2 linked regions of the Drosophila melanogaster genome follow. The protein of the gene in region 1 purifies or fractionates together with the protein of each later gene. This does not show direct contact. Each region holds a gene or a part of one and is shown in the gene's direction. Other genes may lie near its edges.

Evidence for each region.
Region 2: the proteins of hkb (region 1) and ftz-f1 purify together in Drosophila melanogaster (affinity purification with western blotting, with the first as the bait; one study listed by BioGRID). This does not show direct contact.

The regions. Positions count from the first base shown.
Region 1 is NT_033777.3:4,344,781-4,348,536, reverse strand, and holds hkb (huckebein), read left to right. Parts: upstream 1-1,890; 5' UTR 1,891-2,033; coding exon 2,034-2,688; intron 2,689-2,753; coding exon 2,754-2,992; 3' UTR 2,993-3,522; downstream 3,523-3,756.
Region 2 is NT_037436.4:18,799,157-18,802,912, reverse strand, and holds the start of ftz-f1 (ftz transcription factor 1), read left to right. Parts: upstream 1-1,603; 5' UTR 1,604-2,805; intron 2,806-3,756. Other genes in the region: CG14073 (uncharacterized protein), read left to right, coding at 1-131. UniProt on the Drosophila melanogaster protein: Acts as a cofactor to fushi tarazu (ftz). Facilitates the binding of ftz to DNA. Binds the sequence element 5'-YCYYGGYCR-3' in the zebra element of ftz. Probably functions as a nuclear receptor for a yet unknown ligand.

The DNA.
Region 1 (3,756 bases):
GTGAATTTTACAGTATCACCACCCTCAAGCCAGCCCAATCGGCTATCTACCTGCCACCCGACCACCAAGGGATCTATCCAGATCACAGGATCGTCCCTGCTCACGGCAATCCCAGTTTATGAATGAATTTACTAAATGAGCTCAGTCGTGAATGAAATGTTCTCCGCGGACCGCGTTTTATGGACGGTTCTACATATACATAGGTACTAACAAACCCACAACAACCCAGCCATGCCGCTGCACTCATTAGCATTGGTCGAACAATGCAGTTGGACGTAATCCCAATGATTTCCCTTTTGTTCTAAATGGCAGGACAGGGGCATAAGGCGCTAGGCCTGCGGAATGCACCTTCCCTAGAAAGCAGATATCTTTTAGGAAGTTATTATCGCTTTGGTCCGATGACAGCAGTTTTATACTCTTTTAAAAAACAACAAAACGAAAATATTTCGTTCAATTCCGCAAATCTTTCTTTTAATTCTAGCAGCAAACATTTTTATGATTATATGCTGTATCCGTCGTCTCTTGATTAGAATTAGAATTTGATTTCGAAATTATTTCAGGTATCTGTCGAAGAATATAGAGGTATATAATACATTTGGCTGCAAAAATAGGAGGCATATATTCATAATTTAGAGAAGGCTTACTTCCAATGCTTGTTGACTAGAAAATAAGATTGAACTCAGAACACTACTAATCCTATCGTGGGAATCCTTAGAGGGTATGTATTAATATTAAGTACCATTTTCCCTTTAAACTCAAATTCATACAGAAAATTGGAGTGGAAAGTAAACGCAACAGCAATTTGTAGCGGCTACCAATGCATGCGAAAAACTTGTGAACTTAAACACGAACTCTTAAAGCCAATATCGCCTTCTAAATTAAAACATTAGGTGTAGCAACGCACATTCAGCCAAAGTATGTTGTATCTGTTCTCGTAGTCTGCAGCCAGAATCGCGTTAGGGCAAACGCCTCCACGAGCCAGTAAAGTTTTTCTCAAGCACCCCCAGAGATAAAGATAAAGTTTAGGCGAACTGTACCAACTGAACAACACGCTCAAGCCTGGCAATCTCTGCAAATCCTGCCCAGCTGCTTGGCCCGCACTTTGCATATTCGTGATGTCGCGGAGCCACCCTCGAACAAGCACTTAATTTAATAATAAATTGCTGCCACATCGGGCACAGGAAACCCGAACCGCAGATAACCGAATTATACATTTGGAGAAGTATCTGTGTCTGGACGGAGGGAAGGAGGAGGAAACTGTGACTGGGAATGGGTATAAGATTGGGAGTGGGATTGGGATTGGGAGAGTGGGCCAAGCCAAGCCCAAAGCCAACCACCCGGGAATCATGGTCGGTGGGTGGGTGTGAGTACAATTCATAACATAACCGTGAAACGCAAATGCTCTGCTAAAGTTGCGCCCAAATCGGAGGCACCGCGCTGCTGGGATCGCCTGGGCCCAGTATATGTAGTACGGAGTGGAAAGAGTAGAAAGCGCAAGTTAGGAAAGCTGCCCGCCACTCGGTCGGGAGTTCGATTTTCCGGACCGGGAAAACTACGCAGGACTACACGCACACACCAGCGCCTTATATACTTCAGCTGCGAGTGTGTGTGCGAGCGGGCCGCCATTGTTGTGCCCTCGAAACCGAACCGAACCGAATCCGTGCCCGTTTCTGAAAGCGAAACCCACCCCGAAGCATCCCTCTCGCTCGCACATCCTCAGACAGACAAATAATCGATGAATGAAGCGACCCTCAGTGTGCGTGTGCGTGTGCGGGTGAGTGTGTATGTGTGTGCGCGTGTGTGTGAACGCAGGACGAATGACTGCCTGGGTATACGAAGTGTAGGTAGCCAGAGTCCTGGGTTTAAATTGAGAGGCGTCGGGGCAGGAGAGCTCAGTTCGAGTCGAGATCTCGCAGCACACACACAGCTCCGCACAACCAAATCAAGTCCAAAATCATAATCACAAGTGTTCCATCCAAGTGATTTAGTGTCGCGAGAGAGCAATTTAGACCTTCCATTAAAACTACTGCAAAATGTCGACGATTAACCTGCATCCCCCGCAAACCTACTCGCGACTTTTCCGACCCTGGGATACTCAGCGCCAGGCGGCGACCTCGGCGGCACCCAGGACAGTGAAGCAGGAGCCGGAGGCGATTACCATCAAGACGGAGCTGGCCAGCAGCAGTTTCGGCCACGACTGCGACGGAGACTTCTCCTCCGCATCCTCCTCTGCGTCAAGCAGCAGCAACAGCAGCAAGTCCTGCTACGAGGAGGCCCTGAACCACAGCAGCTACACCCGCACTTCCACCCCGCTGCTGGACGCCGCCCCGCACCCCGTCTTTTCACACCCGCAGTCGTCGCCGTTGGACACGCACGCCGCCGCCACCGCATCCTTGGCTCCGCCAAACCAGCACGCTCCATTCCTGTCGGCCGCCAGCGATCTCTACTACGCTGCCGCCGCCGCAGCAGCCGCTGCTGCCTCCACGCCCACTGCCGTCCCGGGCTTCGGCATGGACCCGTTCACTATGGGCCTGATGGAGCAAGAGTACGCCCGCGTGATGGCCGAGGACGCACAGTTAAAGGCGCTCAACAGCCGCAAGCAGCGGCCGAAGAAGTTCAAGTGCCCCAACTGCGACGTGGCCTTCTCCAACAACGGCCAGCTGAAGGGCCACATCCGCATCCACACCGGTAAGTCGACCAGAACACATCTGACCCCGAGAGTCCCACTCACTTATCTCCATTCTGTTCTGCAGGCGAACGCCCATTTAAGTGCGACGTGAACACATGCGGCAAGACCTTCACCCGCAATGAGGAACTGACGCGTCACAAGCGAATCCACACCGGACTGCGGCCGTATCCTTGCAGTGCCTGCGGAAAGAAGTTTGGCCGACGCGACCACTTAAAGAAGCACATGAAGACGCACATGCCGCAGGAGCGCCAGCTGGGCCCGTCCATCTTCGTGCCCATGTACTCATACCTTTATGGCTACTGAGAGGGAAATCCTGGCGAGCTTTCCCCTTGCCACGCGACCCTGCATTCCAGCGATCTGTAAAGCGCTTGCACGCTTTAAACAAGCATTACCGAACCGAATCCAACGAAACGAAACTTAACGCCAGCAAAAACTGCCTAGCCAATCGTGGACAGAACTACCTCAGCCGTACCTGGCGCAATGTGGCGCACTCACCAAACCCAATCTTTGGACCTCGACGATATATGCAAATATTGAGATATTTATTTTTTAACGCGTATTTACACTTCCAGCTACGTGACTGGTTATGATATTCGGCACATGTGTAAATAATCCCTAAGTGATCCTTCCTCATATGCTAAGCGATTAAGAAATTTAAGAGATGCCCGGATTTACGTCTAAGTTATACTAAAGCTGATACTTTAACAGTTTTATAAGCTGATCGTGGTTACCAGATACATACGATTTATACACAAAATTATACGATCATGGTTATATCTGAGAGTTGAATTATACGATTTATGTTTACAACACAAAATACACAAGAAAAACCGTACAAGAAAGACCTTTATTACCTGGGCGGTGTTAGAAATGAGGAGAAATGTACATAGAACTTGCAATTTTGTTCCCCAATGATTAAATGCATAGTTCCATTACGAGTATACGAGGAGCTAAAAACCAAGAACCATTACCTTTACATGTTAATGATCCACTGTCACTTCCCGTTAACCAGATCGTGCGACAAACCGCTCGTCATGCCGCCAATATCAAAGGCAAATCGGAAAATC
Region 2 (3,756 bases), on another chromosome or scaffold:
CCACCTGCCTGCAGCTGTTGTGCGCCGGTGAAAAGCTGAACATGTTCAGTTCGTCGAAGGTTGTGCTCATCAAATACAACGACAGTGTACGGAACTTGTTGGGCGTTAAGACCATTTTAATGAAATTTTAACCGAGATATCTTTAGCGATTGGACGGGGCAAGATCCAGAAAGATATAAATTAGATAATGATGAATGGATGAGCATAGTACTAACTGAACATAGAGTGTAAAGTGCAAACAAATATGGAAAAACTATTAGTACGAATATAATAGTAGATTTATATACTATACATATGTATATTTTAGCTAGTAACTAGTTTTTACTCACACGTCTTTGTCTTTGGAAGATAAAGGATTTTATAAAGGAAATTAAATTTAGAGCTAATGCAAAGTGATACAAAGGTGCTATACACACTCAAAACGAAGAAAAAGGAAATGAATGGAAATTTTAGAGCGAGAATATTGAGAAAATCTGGAATCTTTAGGGATTGGCTGCAATTATGCAATAAAAGTAGAAGAAAACAATGCAAGGCAGTTAGAAACGAGGAAACGAACGGAAAATGTATGCCAGCCAATCAGCTAATAAATTGATATATACTTACAGATAAATCTAGGGATGAAGTGTAATCTATGGTTTTTAAAAAAACAAAACAATCTAGCTAAAGTATAAACTAAATAATAATTATTGTAATAATATTAAAGAAGCAACAAAGGCGTATTTATGTATTATGTATTTTTAAATGAAATTATTAACATAATATATAAAGTATATGTATACACAATATGATCCAACTACAATGTAAATCAATTTTCAGATAGGTTTGTAATTTTCTATGTAATGTACGTGTGTAAGTTTTGTGCAACTATAAAAGGAAACCACAAAAAACTGAAGAAATTTAACAAAAAAAAAAAAACTAATAATGAAAAACAAAATAAATGCAAAGTGAAATTTTGACAATTTAAAAGTGCGGTTTCACTTCAAAATTTTAACAATCTCCTGGCATTTGAAAACAAATATCGATCCAAGCTTTTATTAAACGATTCTTCAAAATTGGTTTAAAAGGTTATTTATATATAATAATAGATGACTGAACAGGTAAGGTCTTAGATAAGTACTTAAATATACTTAGAGGGCCCATTCTTTTGAAAAAGTATAATTATATCTTGTGAATATTTAAATTCGTCTTCTTCTTTTCCTTTTAAATTTGCAATTATTTGAACTAGATAATCTCATTGTATTTTTTATTGCTTATTAAAATTTATGTAATATTTCATTGACAAACCGCCACAGTTTTGAATTTACGATCTATCGATAACTTGGCGATAGGTTCCGGCAGATGTCGCTCTCAAAAGCTCGCCGCACGAGCGGTGCGCTAAACGCGGGTGTGCGTGCATGTGAGTGCTTTCAGCTGAAAGCTTTCCGGTTTTCATATGATTGCCGTCCTTGTTCTTCAAACGATTTTTAAAGGCCAAGAATGCTGCCTCTCTGTCCTTGGCCCCGCTCTTCGCTCCGGTGATCCAACACTATCCCGACCGCGCATGTGTGTGTGCGTGTATGCGCGAGGGCTTTCGGTCTTCTTCTACCTACGCCAACAAACTTTTACTGTGTGTTGTGTTCCCGTTCGAGTTCGACCTAATTTCGCTCGAGACCTAATTTTTGCGTGCGGAATAGTTTTTCCCGAAAAAGTGAAGCCAGCGAATAAACAATAGCTGAAAGTGAGCGATAGCCAAGAAAGTAAGAGTGAAAGTAAACAAAAGCGAAAAGAAGAACAGCTCTGGCGTTAATTATGTGTGTGTACATACGTATATATTTAATATTTCCGATGCGTCCATAACGGGAGTGTGTTCTGGTTTCCAATCGTCGCCCGCGCCCCCGTCATTGCCTATCCGTTTACCAAACCCCAATTTTGGTGTGCAATTGTGTATAAAAATTAACACAAAGTGGGAAGATAGCGTTGTGTCATAGAATTGGAGCAGAAGCAAAAACAAGGCAAAATTAGCAAAAGCCAAGCGGAAAAACAACAACACAGAGTGCCCAGTGGAACCCCAGTACATGTGTGTATATATGTATGTGCGGTGCGAGCGTGTCAGTGTGTGCGTAGCAGGAATTGCAATTTATAGTTGTTGTTTCTGAGAGCTTTCGCTTGTTGCGCGCGTGCGACGATTGTGCAAGAAGTTCTTGGTGTGCGTTCGAAATCGGGAAGAGGAAATCGCCGAGAATAGAGGAAGAGTAAATGGCAATAAATGCAAAATAAATAAAAGAAATAAATAAAAAAAAATATAAATAAATTGCCAAATGCGTTTGGCGTCGCGTGTGTGTGCGTGTTCTGAAATATGCTGAAAGAGCTTTCGGAGAGCGAGAGCAAAAGAGAACGAGACGCCGAGAGATGCGATCGGGAGAAATAGCAACAACAACAACAACGGCAACAGCGACTACGATCGGCGAAATGAATCACACACAAGCTTTGTTTTGCGAATTATAAATTCGCGTTCCGTTCTCCACACATGCGAATTCCCACACTGAGAGCGAGACAGAGACAGCGAGAGAGAGGGAGACCAGCTACGGCTACAAAAACAGAAACAGCAAGAAGACCAAGACATAATAATAGAACTTTTGCTTTCGCTTCCAACTGGTTTTTGTATACATAAAAAGCGAGAGGGGAAGAGACGGAGAAAGAGAGAGACGGACAGCTTCCAGCGCTTCTTCTTCTTCCGCGATCTTCGTCTTGGAATTCATGGAACCGGGCGCATGCGCAACACACAGAACTACAAAAGGAAAAACAACGACGTCAGCTGCATGAAAGGTAAATTCTCAATTCTCCCCGCTGCACGACTTCCTCTCGCTCACCTTTTACCCCCCAAAAACCTCCTTTTCCATTTTGTCTAGTTGGGTGAGCTTTATTTTACTGCACTTACCATCTTTAATGGGAAGTAGGAGCACGGAATGAAATACAGTTTTGACACGAATTTGATTTAAAAACCATCATTATAAGAAAACTTTTTAAATAAAATCACCTTTTTGTTTGTTTAAATAAATTTTACTGGGATCATTATATATATATTTTTTACAAAAATTAATGTGGTTTTAAAAATTTGGATAATAAACTGAAAATTGTATCAGCAGTTTATAGCTTTTTATAGTTTTTTTTTATACATTTTCTCGTATTTTCCACTAAGATATTTTTCTTTTAAAATATTAAATATAAAGTTAATGTCATTTGCTCAATTTTTTTCCGTGGATTACCCGAGGGTTGGTGAGATTCAAGCACGAAAAGTGAAGAACTTGAAGTCGAGTGAAGTTAATTAAAGTATCGTTAAAAAGGGTAACACAGGGCTTAAAAAAATGGGGGAATCTTTCCAGTTGTCTGTTTCGCGAACTGGAAAATTACTGTAAATGGGGGAATAAACAATTTAGCGTGTTAATTTTTAAATGGATTTTATCTACTCGGAAAAAATAATTTGGTTAAAGATGCTTTTAATGCATTAACTTTTTTTTTTTTTATTAATTTTTGTAATCTTGTAAAACAATTGCATTTTTAAAAAAACTTTATTTTTCAATTTTTAAATTAAAGATTCTCGACGTCTATTTTGAAATTTAATTTTTAAACATCGGTTTATTGGTGAAATTGCATTGATACTGATAAAAATAGTTTAGGCACTCCTAAGCTCTACGGAGGTATATATTGTGGACTTTCGACGATTTAGTTAAAAACCCTAAACAATAATTAAATAGTAGAATTATAAAAAAACTGAAA